Mus musculus: one gene and its partners. The protein of the gene in region 1 interacts with the protein of each later gene in a pairwise test. Links are inferred from orthologs where the notes say so. Each region holds a gene or a part of one and is shown in the gene's direction. Other genes may lie near its edges.

What was found. The genes of interacting proteins can lie anywhere in the genome.
Region 2: the proteins of Kifc3 (region 1) and Leng1 interact in binary tests that used the Homo sapiens proteins (3 or more experiments, as listed by UniProt). The two-hybrid records come from large-scale screens. The link is inferred for Mus musculus from reciprocal best matches to the Homo sapiens genes KIFC3 and LENG1.
Region 3: the proteins of Kifc3 (region 1) and Trim54 interact in binary tests that used the Homo sapiens proteins (3 or more experiments, as listed by UniProt). The two-hybrid records come from large-scale screens. The link is inferred for Mus musculus from reciprocal best matches to the Homo sapiens genes KIFC3 and TRIM54.

Annotation. Positions count from the first base shown.
Region 1 is NC_000074.6:95,101,943-95,104,557, reverse strand, and holds part of Kifc3 (kinesin-like protein KIFC3), read left to right. Parts: intron 1-532; coding exon 533-663; intron 664-1,023; coding exon 1,024-1,147; intron 1,148-1,765; coding exon 1,766-1,895; intron 1,896-1,981; coding exon 1,982-2,211; intron 2,212-2,411; coding exon 2,412-2,546; intron 2,547-2,615. UniProt on the Homo sapiens protein: Minus-end microtubule-dependent motor protein. Involved in apically targeted transport. Required for zonula adherens maintenance.
Region 2 is NC_000073.6:3,663,041-3,667,271, reverse strand, and holds the start of Leng1 (leukocyte receptor cluster member 1 homolog), read left to right. Parts: upstream 1-1,431; 5' UTR 1,432-1,824; coding exon 1,825-1,956; intron 1,957-3,410; coding exon 3,411-3,590; intron 3,591-4,231. Other genes in the region: Tmc4 (transmembrane channel-like protein 4), read left to right, coding at 94-224, 298-453, 1,092-1,170, 1,264-1,332.
Region 3 is NC_000071.6:31,115,257-31,119,411, forward strand, and holds the start of Trim54 (tripartite motif-containing protein 54), read left to right. Parts: upstream 1-1,355; 5' UTR 1,356-1,653; coding exon 1,654-1,821; intron 1,822-4,155. UniProt on the Homo sapiens protein: May bind and stabilize microtubules during myotubes formation.

The DNA of each region.
Region 1 (2,615 bases):
ACAACTTAGGACAGTCAGACCTGCAAGGCCTTGGAGTGTGCCTGGCAGTTAGCACACTTGAAGCACAGGAATGAGATGAGGGGGAGGTACCTTCAAAGCGGAGGGAAAGTGTGTCTAGGGCCCACTCAGGTGGGCTCTAGATTTATTCTGAAAGGTGGCCATGTCATCCAGCCTCAAGGACTTCACCCACAGAGCCTGGCTTCCGGCCACCCAGACAGGGAGCCTCCCAGTGGGCAGTGGGTGGCTCCATGTTTATTTCAACTGCCCCTTCCAGGAGGCCCAGCAGACCATAATAAGCCCTGGTGTTCCCTCCGCAGGGGTAGTGTGTCAGGCTTCACCCCACAGAGCTCCTTTCATGCTTACTAACTTCCTGGCAGGGAAATGCTACCTTCAAGGTGGGGAAACTTGCCTATATTCGGAGGACAGACAGACCAGCAGGAGAGGCTCACCTGTTAGGGGTTCCTGAGGGCATGGGGTGACAGATATTGTGTGAGCATCTGTGGGGCCACTGGGCCTTTACTTTTGCCAACAGGGGACTCCCGAGAACCCGGGCATCAACCAGCGGGCCCTGCAGCTGCTCTTCTCGGAGGTGCAGGAGAAGGCGTCTGACTGGCAGTACAACATCACCGTCAGCGCAGCTGAGATTTACAATGAAGTCCTCAGGTGGGCCTGGGCTGGAGCTCGGAGTGCTGGTAGTGGGGCTTTCTGGTCTCCAAGTCTAAGTTCTAGGTGAGGCTGGGAAGAGGATCTGCCCAGGGTTAGGAGTTAGGTGGTCCTCCCTTATCTGGGACCCCTTTCTGTGTTGTGGGCTGCGCTGAACTGGGTCGGGATGGGGCCCCTACCCAGTCAGGGGCTGTGTGGTCCTTAGGACTTCTGTGGAAGTCTGTTTCCCCTCTGCTGAGTGCAAGTCCTGTGGTCCAGGATTGGTGCAGGGGCAGATTCCAGACTAGGGATTGGGTGCAAGGCAAGCAGAGGCCAGAGTGGGAGGGGAGAAGTCATGTCTCGCTTGGCTTGCCGCTCCAGGGACCTGCTGGGGAAAGAGCCTCAGGAGAAGCTGGAGATCCGACTGTGCCCGGATGGCAGTGGGCAACTGTATGTGCCAGGGCTGACTGAGTTCCAGGTGCAGAGCGTGGATGACATCAACAAGGTAAGGTGTCCTGGGGAAGTGCTGGAGGCCCCGCTCACCAACAGCTGCTCTGGTGGACAGAACTGGGCTCCAGGTCCAAGGTGGGCTTTGCCACCACCTGACAATGCAGCTTAGGGGAGTCCCCAGGCCTCTCCAAGCCTGTCTCCTCATCTGAAAGGAAAGGCAGGTATAGGAGCACACCTGTAAAGCTAAGTCAGGAGAATTGTGAATCGGGAACCAGTCTGACTACCTAGCAAGACCCTCAGAGGCTTTCATGTGGCTGGGTGTACACAGCTTTAATGTCAGCACTTGGACAGAGGCAGGTGGATCTCTGCCAGATCAGTGAGTTCTACATAGTGAGTTCCAGGCCAGACAAGACTACAGAGACCTGATCTCAAAACAAAAAATTAAAAAGATAGCAAGATGTGATGCTGTCCACCCTTTTATCCCAGTATTTGAGAGGCAAAGGCAGGCAGATCTCTGAGCTAGAGGGCAGCTTGGTATACACACTATGACCTTGCCTCTGCCTAAAACCAAACAATAATAACAAAAACCTTGAAGAAACTTGAGTATCCAGGTAAAGCACATAGGGTGGCATTGCCCATCCCAAAGGAGCCCGCTCACTGCCTTTGCCCCCAGGTGTTTGAGTTTGGCTACAACAACCGCACCACCGAGTTCACCAACCTGAACGAACACAGCTCCCGCTCCCACGCTCTGCTCATCGTGACAGTGAGAGGTGTGGATTGCAGCACAGGCCTCCGCACCACGGGTGAGAGATGCACAGTGGCCATTCTGGTCAAGCCCTCCATCAGTATCTTTGGGGCAGCGCTGACCCACCCTCTGCTCTGCCTGCAGGGAAGCTGAACCTGGTGGACCTGGCTGGTTCAGAGCGTGTGGGCAAGTCGGGGGCTGAGGGCAACCGCCTGCGAGAGGCACAGCACATCAACAGGTCACTATCCGCCCTGGGGGACGTCATTGCTGCCCTGCGTTCTCGACAAGGCCATGTGCCCTTCCGCAATTCCAAACTCACCTACCTGCTGCAGGACTCACTCAGTGGTGACAGCAAGACCCTTATGGTGGTACAGGTGAGGGCCTGAGGTTCAGCAAGAGCCTCCCCAGGCTGCTGGCTCCCCCTACCCCCACATAGACCCCTACCAACATCCCCTTTTAGTACACAAGTTCCTCCCCATGTTCACTGCCCACAGTGGGCTCCCCTGACCAGAAACACCCTCTGGTGGCCATGCTGCTACCTCCTGTGCTGTACCATGAGCTCTCTGTCCCCTAGGTGTCCCCAGTGGAGAAGAACACCAGCGAGACTCTGTACTCCCTCAGATTTGCTGAGAGGGTTCGCTCTGTGGAGTTGGGCCCTGGGTCCCGCCGCACAGAGCTGGGTTCCTGGTCAAGCCAGGAGCACCTGGAGGTACTGGGGGATGGATGGGGTGGGGGAGGAGGGGAGAGGCTTCCATGAGTGAGACTCAGGCTGGTACCG
Region 2 (4,231 bases), on another chromosome or scaffold:
AAAGGAGGCCAAAGCTCCAAGATAAGAAACAGGGAAAAGCAAAGGATTGACTCTTGAGTCTTACACCTCCATTTCCTCGCCTCTCCCTACCAGATAACCCTCTTCTCCATCTACTCACCGGCTTCCCGCACCTTCCGAGCATCCACGGCAAACTTCTTTTTCCCCCTGGTTCTCCTTGTGGGTCTGGCGATCTCTGCAGTTCCCGTGCTTTACAGTATCTTCCTGTAAGTACGAGAGACTTCTGTTTGTTCTCACTCTAGCTCGACTTGACTGAATCCAGTGTGTCTCCCCCTACAGGATCCCACCTTCGAAACTGTGTGGCCCGTTCCGCGGGAAGCTGTCCATTTGGGCCCAGATCCCTGAGGCCATTGAGAGCCTCCCTCAGACTGCCCAGAATTTTCTCTACTTTCTGGGAACCCAAGCTTTTACTGTACCTCTTCTGATCCTCTCTAGGTGAGCAGTCAGACTTTGAATGTGTGTAATTTAGTGTTTGAAAGAGAAAGGAGTTTCTGGGCACCTGAGTGCTAGAGAGGTGGGCTGGGTGCCTATATACAACAGAGACGTGGGGCTGGCCGGGATGCCTATAAATCAAGAGCAGGAGAGTCGGAGTGTGAATGCTTAGGGTCTAAGAAAAGACATCTGGGTTTGGATTCCTGGTCTGAGGAAAGGAGGGCTAGGGTGTGGATTTATCGATTTGATGAAGGGGGAGGAGGTATGGAGCCTGAACCTCTAGTTTAACCTCTGGTTAAAGGGTCTGAACTTTTGGGTCTAAAGAGAGAGGATAAAGACTTGTGTTCAGAGTCTCAAAAAGGGTTTTAAGGGATTTGAGGATCCTGATATTGGTTTCTTTAATTTACTTATTCATTTAATTTTTATGTGTGTTGGTATTTGGACAGTGTGACTGTCTGTGTGAAGTAACGAACTTGAGTTACAATTGTAAGCTGCCATGTGGGGCTGGGAATTGAACCCCGGTCCTTTGGAAGTGCAGCCAGTGCTCCGGTTACGAGCCATCTCTCCAGCCTGGTTTCTAAGGAGCCATATGATGAAGATGATTGTTTTTCTAGAGTGATTTTCATTCCTGTCTTCCATAGCATCCTGATGATGTATACCGTAGCCCTGGCTAACTGTTACGGACGCCTCATCTCTGAGCTCAAACGCCAGATAGAGACGGTGAGCCAGGCTGATTTCCCCGGAAAGGGCTCTATGAGACTATGAAAGAAGAATGAAAAGGTGTGCTTCACTTTCGCTCCTTTTTGCCCGCAGGAAGTGCAGAATAAAGTCTTCCTGGCCCAGCGAGCTGTGGCTCTGAGCTCAAGGAATGGAACTTCCTGATAAGTCTGGCTGAACCTTCAGCCCCTCAGCTTCAGTGACTTCATATCAAGTGATGGGACTCTTTCATCTCTGGAACCAAATTCCCCGCCCTCTGCCACCCGAATGCTACACTCTCAATTGAACCGTATTAATAAACAACAGTCAAGGCCGCTTTGCGTTTTGAAACCCCGTTCTGAAGCCTCGGACGGGGTTTGGGGAGGGGCCAGGTCCAAATCGGCCTGAAGAGCTAGGTTATGTCTGCTTAAAGGAATAGACAGGCAACAGCCTCATCAAGCAGCGTCCGGGGGTGGAGCAACTCAGGTTACAAATGCTTAGGATTGGCTGAGATGGAAGGCTCTCAGCCAATAATCTCTAAACAAGGCTAGGATGGGACGTGACAATTGGCCCAGAACCAATGCACGAGCAAGGGTGGAACCATGGGGCGGGAGCATCCTCGAGCCAATCGGAAGTGCTGAAGAGTGGGCCTGACAGTCCGAGGTCGGCACTGGAGCCATGAATATCTTGCCGAAGAAGAGCTGGCACGTCCGGAACAAGGACAATGTTGCCCGCGTGCGGCGCGACGAGGCCCAGGCCCGGGAGGAGGAGAAGGAGCGGGAGCGGAGGGTGCTGCTCGCCCAGCAAGAGGTAAGCCTGGGGACCGCCCAGAAGCGCGGCGGGCCTAGCTATCACTCGGTGCCGGGAGCGGGTCTGTGTGTTCGACGATGTTTCTCTGAAAATCCTGTGCTAACTTCCAAGAAACCTTCCTAGATTTCCCCACTGGTGTTGAGGGACCAGAGACTAGCATACTGGAAGAGTTGGACAAATATTCTGATTACTTTATAGGTTGCCCGCACAAGTTAATTACTGATCACCCACTCTGTGTATGCTCCCTTCCTTCTGAGCGCTTGCTTTGAGAAATTCCCTCTTAGAACAACTTGGAGGGGTGCGGTCACCTTGCTCTGAGTACAACGGCTTCAGCAAGGAGGGCAAAGGGCGGACAAGCCGGGGTCCACTTCGTTGGGCATGTCTTTTCTCCCTCCCTCATTGCTTGCCAAGAAAAGAGCATCTGGAGGTTTTATTTGGAACAGGGTCTGTGTAGCCGTGGCTGTTATGGAACTGGCTACGTAGACCAGGCTGGTCTTGAACTCAGCTTGCCTGTTCCACTTGAACGCTAGTATTGAAGACCACACACACATCACAGACTCTAAGTTACTCGATTAGTTTGGTTTACACTTAAGTCCCTTGGCCAATCTGATCATGAATTAGTGTGGGCTTAAAAAAAAAAAAAAAAGCCGGGTAGTGGCGGTGGCGCACGCCTTTGATCCCAGCACCTGGGAGGCAGAGGCAGGTGGATTTCTGAGGCCAGCCTGGTCTACAAAGTGAGTTCCAGGACAGCCAGGGCTACACAGAAAAACCCTGTCTTAAAAAACAAAACAAAACAAAACAAACAAACAAAAAGGTGACGCTTGTAATTAATCCCAGATACTAAGGCTGCAGAAAGGGGAGAATTGTGAATCAGAGACCATCCCTATCTGGGGTCAGGTTGTACTTGGAGTGGTGACCTGGAGCCATACCTTGGATTTAGATCCTTTGTCCAGAAAGCAATATTTGATTACCTTACAAGTTTGGGAGTATATACATACTTGTGTTGGGGACTGAATTTGGAACTACACACAAGGCAGGGGCTCTATGGCTGAACAAGCCACCTATACCTATACCTGAGTGGGTTTTCCTTGCATCACTTGAGACTGGGAAGCCTTCTGTTTTAGGTCAGGGATCTTCTCTGAACTATCTCTGATAGCCCAGTTTACTGTCTAAAAACATCGATTCTCCACTCCAAGTTAGAAATGGTATCTCTTCTTGCTCTCAATATTTGCCCCACCCCCACCCCCTCTTTTCAAGACAGGATTTTTCTGTGTAGTCCTGGAACTAACTCACTCTGTAGACCATGCTGGCCTTGAATTCAGAGATCCATGTGCCTCTGTCTCCTGAATGCTAGGTTCAAAGGTGTGTGCTACCACTGCCCTCCCTGCCCATGGACCATTCTTGTATCCTCAGCACTTCTGGGTTCTGAATGTCTTCCCTATAACCCTTCATAGGCCCGTACGGAATTCCTACGGAAGAAAGCCAGGCAACGAAACTCAGTGCCTGAGCTGGAAGCAGCAGACCCAGGAGCTCCAAGTTCTGGCCCTGTGGACCTGTTTAGGGAGCTGCTGGAAGAAAGGAAAGGAGTTCCCAGAGGCAATAAAGAGCATGAGGAAGAGAAGCGACGGGAAAAGGTAAGTTGGCCTCATTTTTTGGTGGAATCATGGGGGTGGGGACTGGCTGTGACTGTTAGGATATGGTGATAAGCACTCTAAAATTTTTAGAATATGACTGAGAGATATTACCTGTAAGTTGGTTACTGCTGTACAGCACTTAAACTGGCTAACCTTTTCCCATGGGACTAAAAAAAGTCTTAAGCTATTTTATTTTTGAGATGAGGTCACAACTACACAGACCAGGGGTGCTTTCCAATTCTCAATCCCCCTGCCTTGGCCTCCTGAGCCAAGTGTTGGGATCATAGGCACTCATCTCCAGACAGCATTTGTGCTTTTCAAACTGACTTGTACTGTGGCTCTCCTCTCTCTCGTCGAACTTTGAAGGTGCTATCTCCCACTGAAAAATCACTCCTCCACTTTGCTTTTCTGCAGGTTTTTCCTTAAACTGTTCCCAAAGCTTCTCCCATCTTCACTACTGCACAGGCCGCAGCCTCTCTTTCTTCCTCCTCCTGCAGATAAGCCCCTGGTGCTTCCTGAATGGTCTTCTGATCTCCCTTGTTAAATGACTGTCTACCAGTCCCCGTCTCCAGAAATTTGAGCCCTGGGTTTTTCTATTGCCACATCTAGGGCTCCCAGAGGGACTGAAAAGACTATTTTGT
Region 3 (4,155 bases), on another chromosome or scaffold:
AGAAATTCCATCACATCCCTCTCCTCCTAGAAGAGACAGGATAGAGAGTACGTAGGCTGGAAGGAAGGGGCTAATTAAGCCCTTACTACCTCATTCCCTAAAGACCAGCCAATTTAAAGGGCACACTGTCCCACCAATCATAATGTGCCTAGTTGCTGATGCTCTATTCCACCCCTGGAAACCATATAAAAACTTATGGAACAGGCCGCCTGGGGTTGCCACCTCTCCTTCAGGTGTCATTCTGAGAATGACAACCTCAGAATGCTGGAACAATAAATTATTCTTGCTTTTGCATCGATCCCCAGCTCTGAGGGTCCCCCAGTAAGCTAAGGCTCGTCAGACTCTTACAACACAAGAGCCTGTCTTTAATAAGGGAGAGGGAAGTGTATAGTGAGATTGTTCATTGGGTAAATGTACTTGTCATCAATTCTGATGACTCAAGTTTGATTTCTGGGACCCATATGCTGCAGAAAAGGAACTGACTTGTGGGGGTGTCCACTGTCCTGTGACCTCCAGGTTGCACCCACCACTCCCCAAAGCAAATTAGTGTGGGGTTGTTTCTCTGTAAAGGCTGAGCAAGAACAAATATGGGGCAGACATGGGTCAAAAAGTTCTCTCTCGGCCGGGTGGTGGTGGCACATGCCTTTAATCCCAGCACTTGGGAGGCAGAGGCAGGCGGGCGGATTTCTGAGTTTGAGGCCAGCCTGGTCTACAGAGTGAGTTCCAGGACAGCCAAAGCTATACAGAGAAAAGCTACAAAGCTATACTGTTTTAAAAAGAAGAAGGAGGAGGAGGAGGAGGAGGAGGAGGAGGAGGAGGAGGAGGAGGAGAAGAAGGAGAAGAAGAAGAAGAAGAAGAAGAAGAAGAAGAAGAAGAAGAAGAAGAAGAAGAAGAAGAAGAAGAAGAAGAAGAAGAAGAAGAAATAGAAGAAGAAGAAAAGTTCTCTTTCTTGGTCTGGCATTCCATTTCTGAATCATGCACTCTCTAGGAGGGCCGGGATCACTGGCTAAGCCTGTGGAGGAAGAGATGACACCAGATCTACAGATCTATCCAGACCTTGCCCCCCCACTTGGGGCCATCTCTCCCAAAGGCTAGTTTAGACTTTGTTTCTGTTTGGAAAAAGGTCCCAAGCCAGAACATGGAGACCAATGTTCACAGGAGCCTTCCCAGTGACAGCAAGTGAGCCCCATACCATTCCTAGCCACCCCTTCCTGAATGAGTCAGGGCCACTCAGTCCGGGGACAGCTGTGGCTCACCTTACATGAGCTAAATTGGGAACTGGAATGTCACACGGATGCCCCTTGTGTCCCCACCCCCACAGTAATGTTAATCTCTCTAGGGAGGAAGGGACAAACAGTGCTGCCCAAAGAGTGACCAAGAGGGTGGTTTGGGGGGACAGGAGGAGAATTTCACAGGGCAAGATAAAGCTACAAGCGCCTGGTGAGGGTTCTGAGCAAGGAGTGTAGACAGAGTGTCTGGAAATAGACAGGGGTGAGAGGAGCTGTTAGGGGAAGGGACAGGACTCTTCCAAGAGGGAGCAATAGCCGGGATCCCAAGAATCCAGTCAGCCTAAACTGACCGAGGAAGGGTGCACAGGCAGGGGAGAAGGCCAACGACAGGGCCACAGCGAGGCAGGCTCCAGAGCGCCGCGGGATGAACTTCACGGTGGGTTTCAAGCCGCTGCTAGGGGATGCGCACAACATGGACAACTTGGAGAAGCAGCTCATTTGCCCCATCTGCCTGGAGATGTTCTCCAAGCCCGTGGTGATCTTGCCCTGCCAACACAACCTGTGCCGCAAGTGTGCCAACGACGTCTTCCAGGTGGGCTCAGGGAGGGGTGGGTTAGGTCACAGAGGGGGATGGGGTGGGTGCCCTCCGCTGGGAGGGAGGGGCTGAGAGGTAGGAGAGTCAGCGTGAGTCAGCAGCTGCCCTGAGGCTGGTTAGCCCGACCTGAGTCTATAGCAGCCAGGACCTGCAGAAACTGGAAAGGAAGAGAGTGGTCTTGCATAGGCTTTGTAGGAGCTTGGACTAGATTTCATTCATTTTAAGGCTTTGATTTTTTTTTTTTTAAAACTCTGGAGAAGAAATCAACGATATATTGAGATGTGTGTGTGTGCATATGTGTTGGCTAGTGTGGCTACCAGGCCTCAACTTGAAAACATAAATGATGGAAAGAGAGAACTGACTCCCGAAAGTTGACCTCTGACCTCCACTTATATGAACACAGACAAACAAACAGACAGACACACACACAGTTTAAAATAATAACTGGGAATGGTAGTGTATACCTGTAATTCTGTAATATTCAATATAAATTCAAGACTACCCCAGACCTTCCCCCTTCAAAAGGACTTTCCAGACTGTACTAGCAGGCCAAGTACAGAGGCAGATAAAAAGCTGGCTGACTAAACAAATATAGAAATATAGTTTTAACGGTCAAAATTACTAAGCTTCCAGAACAAGTTTAACAATCCCCCCTGTCCCGCCTCACACTAAAAACCTCAAGGACAGACAAAATGAGAGTCACCCTATACAAACCAACCAATGTCTAAAAAGGTTATTGGCTACACCAATTAAAATAAGCCAAACTACCCTGGTGCCTATATCCGGCCTTTACCAAGGTATAAAAAATGTGTTCTTTCTTTGTTCTGGGTCTCTTTCCGGCTTGCGTGCTGAGAGGGGGTTCCCCAACATGTTGGATAAGTAAAATCCTCATGCGTTTTGCAATGATGGCGGCGGTCTCTGTGGTCTTTGTGAGTCTTTTGTCAAGCTACACTAATTCCAGCAGTTGGGAGGCTAAAGCAGGAGGATTGTCATCTTTTGGTTTTGTTTCTGAGACAGGGTCTCTCTATGCAACCCCAGCTGTCCTGTAGCTCACCATTCAAACCAGGCTGACCTCAAACCCACAGAGATCCTCTTTTTCTTTTTTTTTAAAGAATTATTTATTTATAACATATGTGAGTACACCATAACTCTCTTCATGCATACCAGAGGAGGGCATCAGATCCCATTTCAGACAGTTGTGAGCCACCACGTGGTTGCTGGGAATCGAACTCAGGACCTCTGGAAGAGCAGTCATTGCTCTTAACTGCTGAGCCATCTCTCCAGCCCCACAGAGATCCTCTTGCCTCTGCCTCCCCAGTACTGGGATTAGAGATGTCACCACCATTCTGGAAATCAATTGTCATTTTTAAAGTTAACCTTGATTACATAATGAATTCTGGACCAACTTGGGCTACAAAACAAGACTGTTTCAAAAAGTAAATTAAAAAATCTAAAATTAAAAATTGTCGGTAAATCTATGAGAAACCCTTCAATGCCAGCAGAACCGTGTGTATTCGAGGCAGAGCCTCTCTGTCCATGAGGGTCTGATTAGACACTGGGCCAGGGCAGCAGGGGTCTCCCCAGTTTCACTACTGTGATCCTTCCTCACCTGGTAAAGACTTAGAGGGTAGCTGATATTCAGGCAACTTACAGACACCATAACTCTCTTCATGCATACCAGAGGAGGGCATCAGATCCCATTTCAGACAGTTGTGAGCCACCACGTGGTTGCTGGGAATCGAACTCAGGACCTCTGGAAGAGCAGGCAGGCAGACAGACAGACAGACAGACAGGCAGACAGACAGAAGGCAGAAACAAAATTGTACTTCCCAGAAATGCCTGGGTATCTGTGGTCATGAGGCCAAGCACAACTAGGTGAAGTCACCAGGACTATTTTGTCCACACATTTCAAAAATAAAAACAAAAGATCTGGGCTCAGTGGTACATGGCTGCAAACCCAATCCTTGGGAGTTTAAGGCTGGCTTGGACTGCAGGAGACCCTGCCTAGCCAGCTAACTAACTAACTAACTAACCAACCAAATAAATAAATACATACACACCAGAGTCCTTTATACGTTCACAGGCTTGCTTTCCAGCTCTGTGCCTTTGGTGGAGCTCTGAGTCGGTTGTGACTGGATCAGAGGTCGGGGAGAAGGAAGGAATAGAACTCACATGCACAGACACGGGACCTCGCAGATATAACTTGGCTCTCTTGGTGTTGCAATCTGTGATAGGAAAATCAGGAATATGCTTCCTGCCAGGAGACAGGCTCTATGGCACATGCCTGGGATCCCAGCGAGGAAGGGACATCACAAGCTGGAGGCTAGCCTG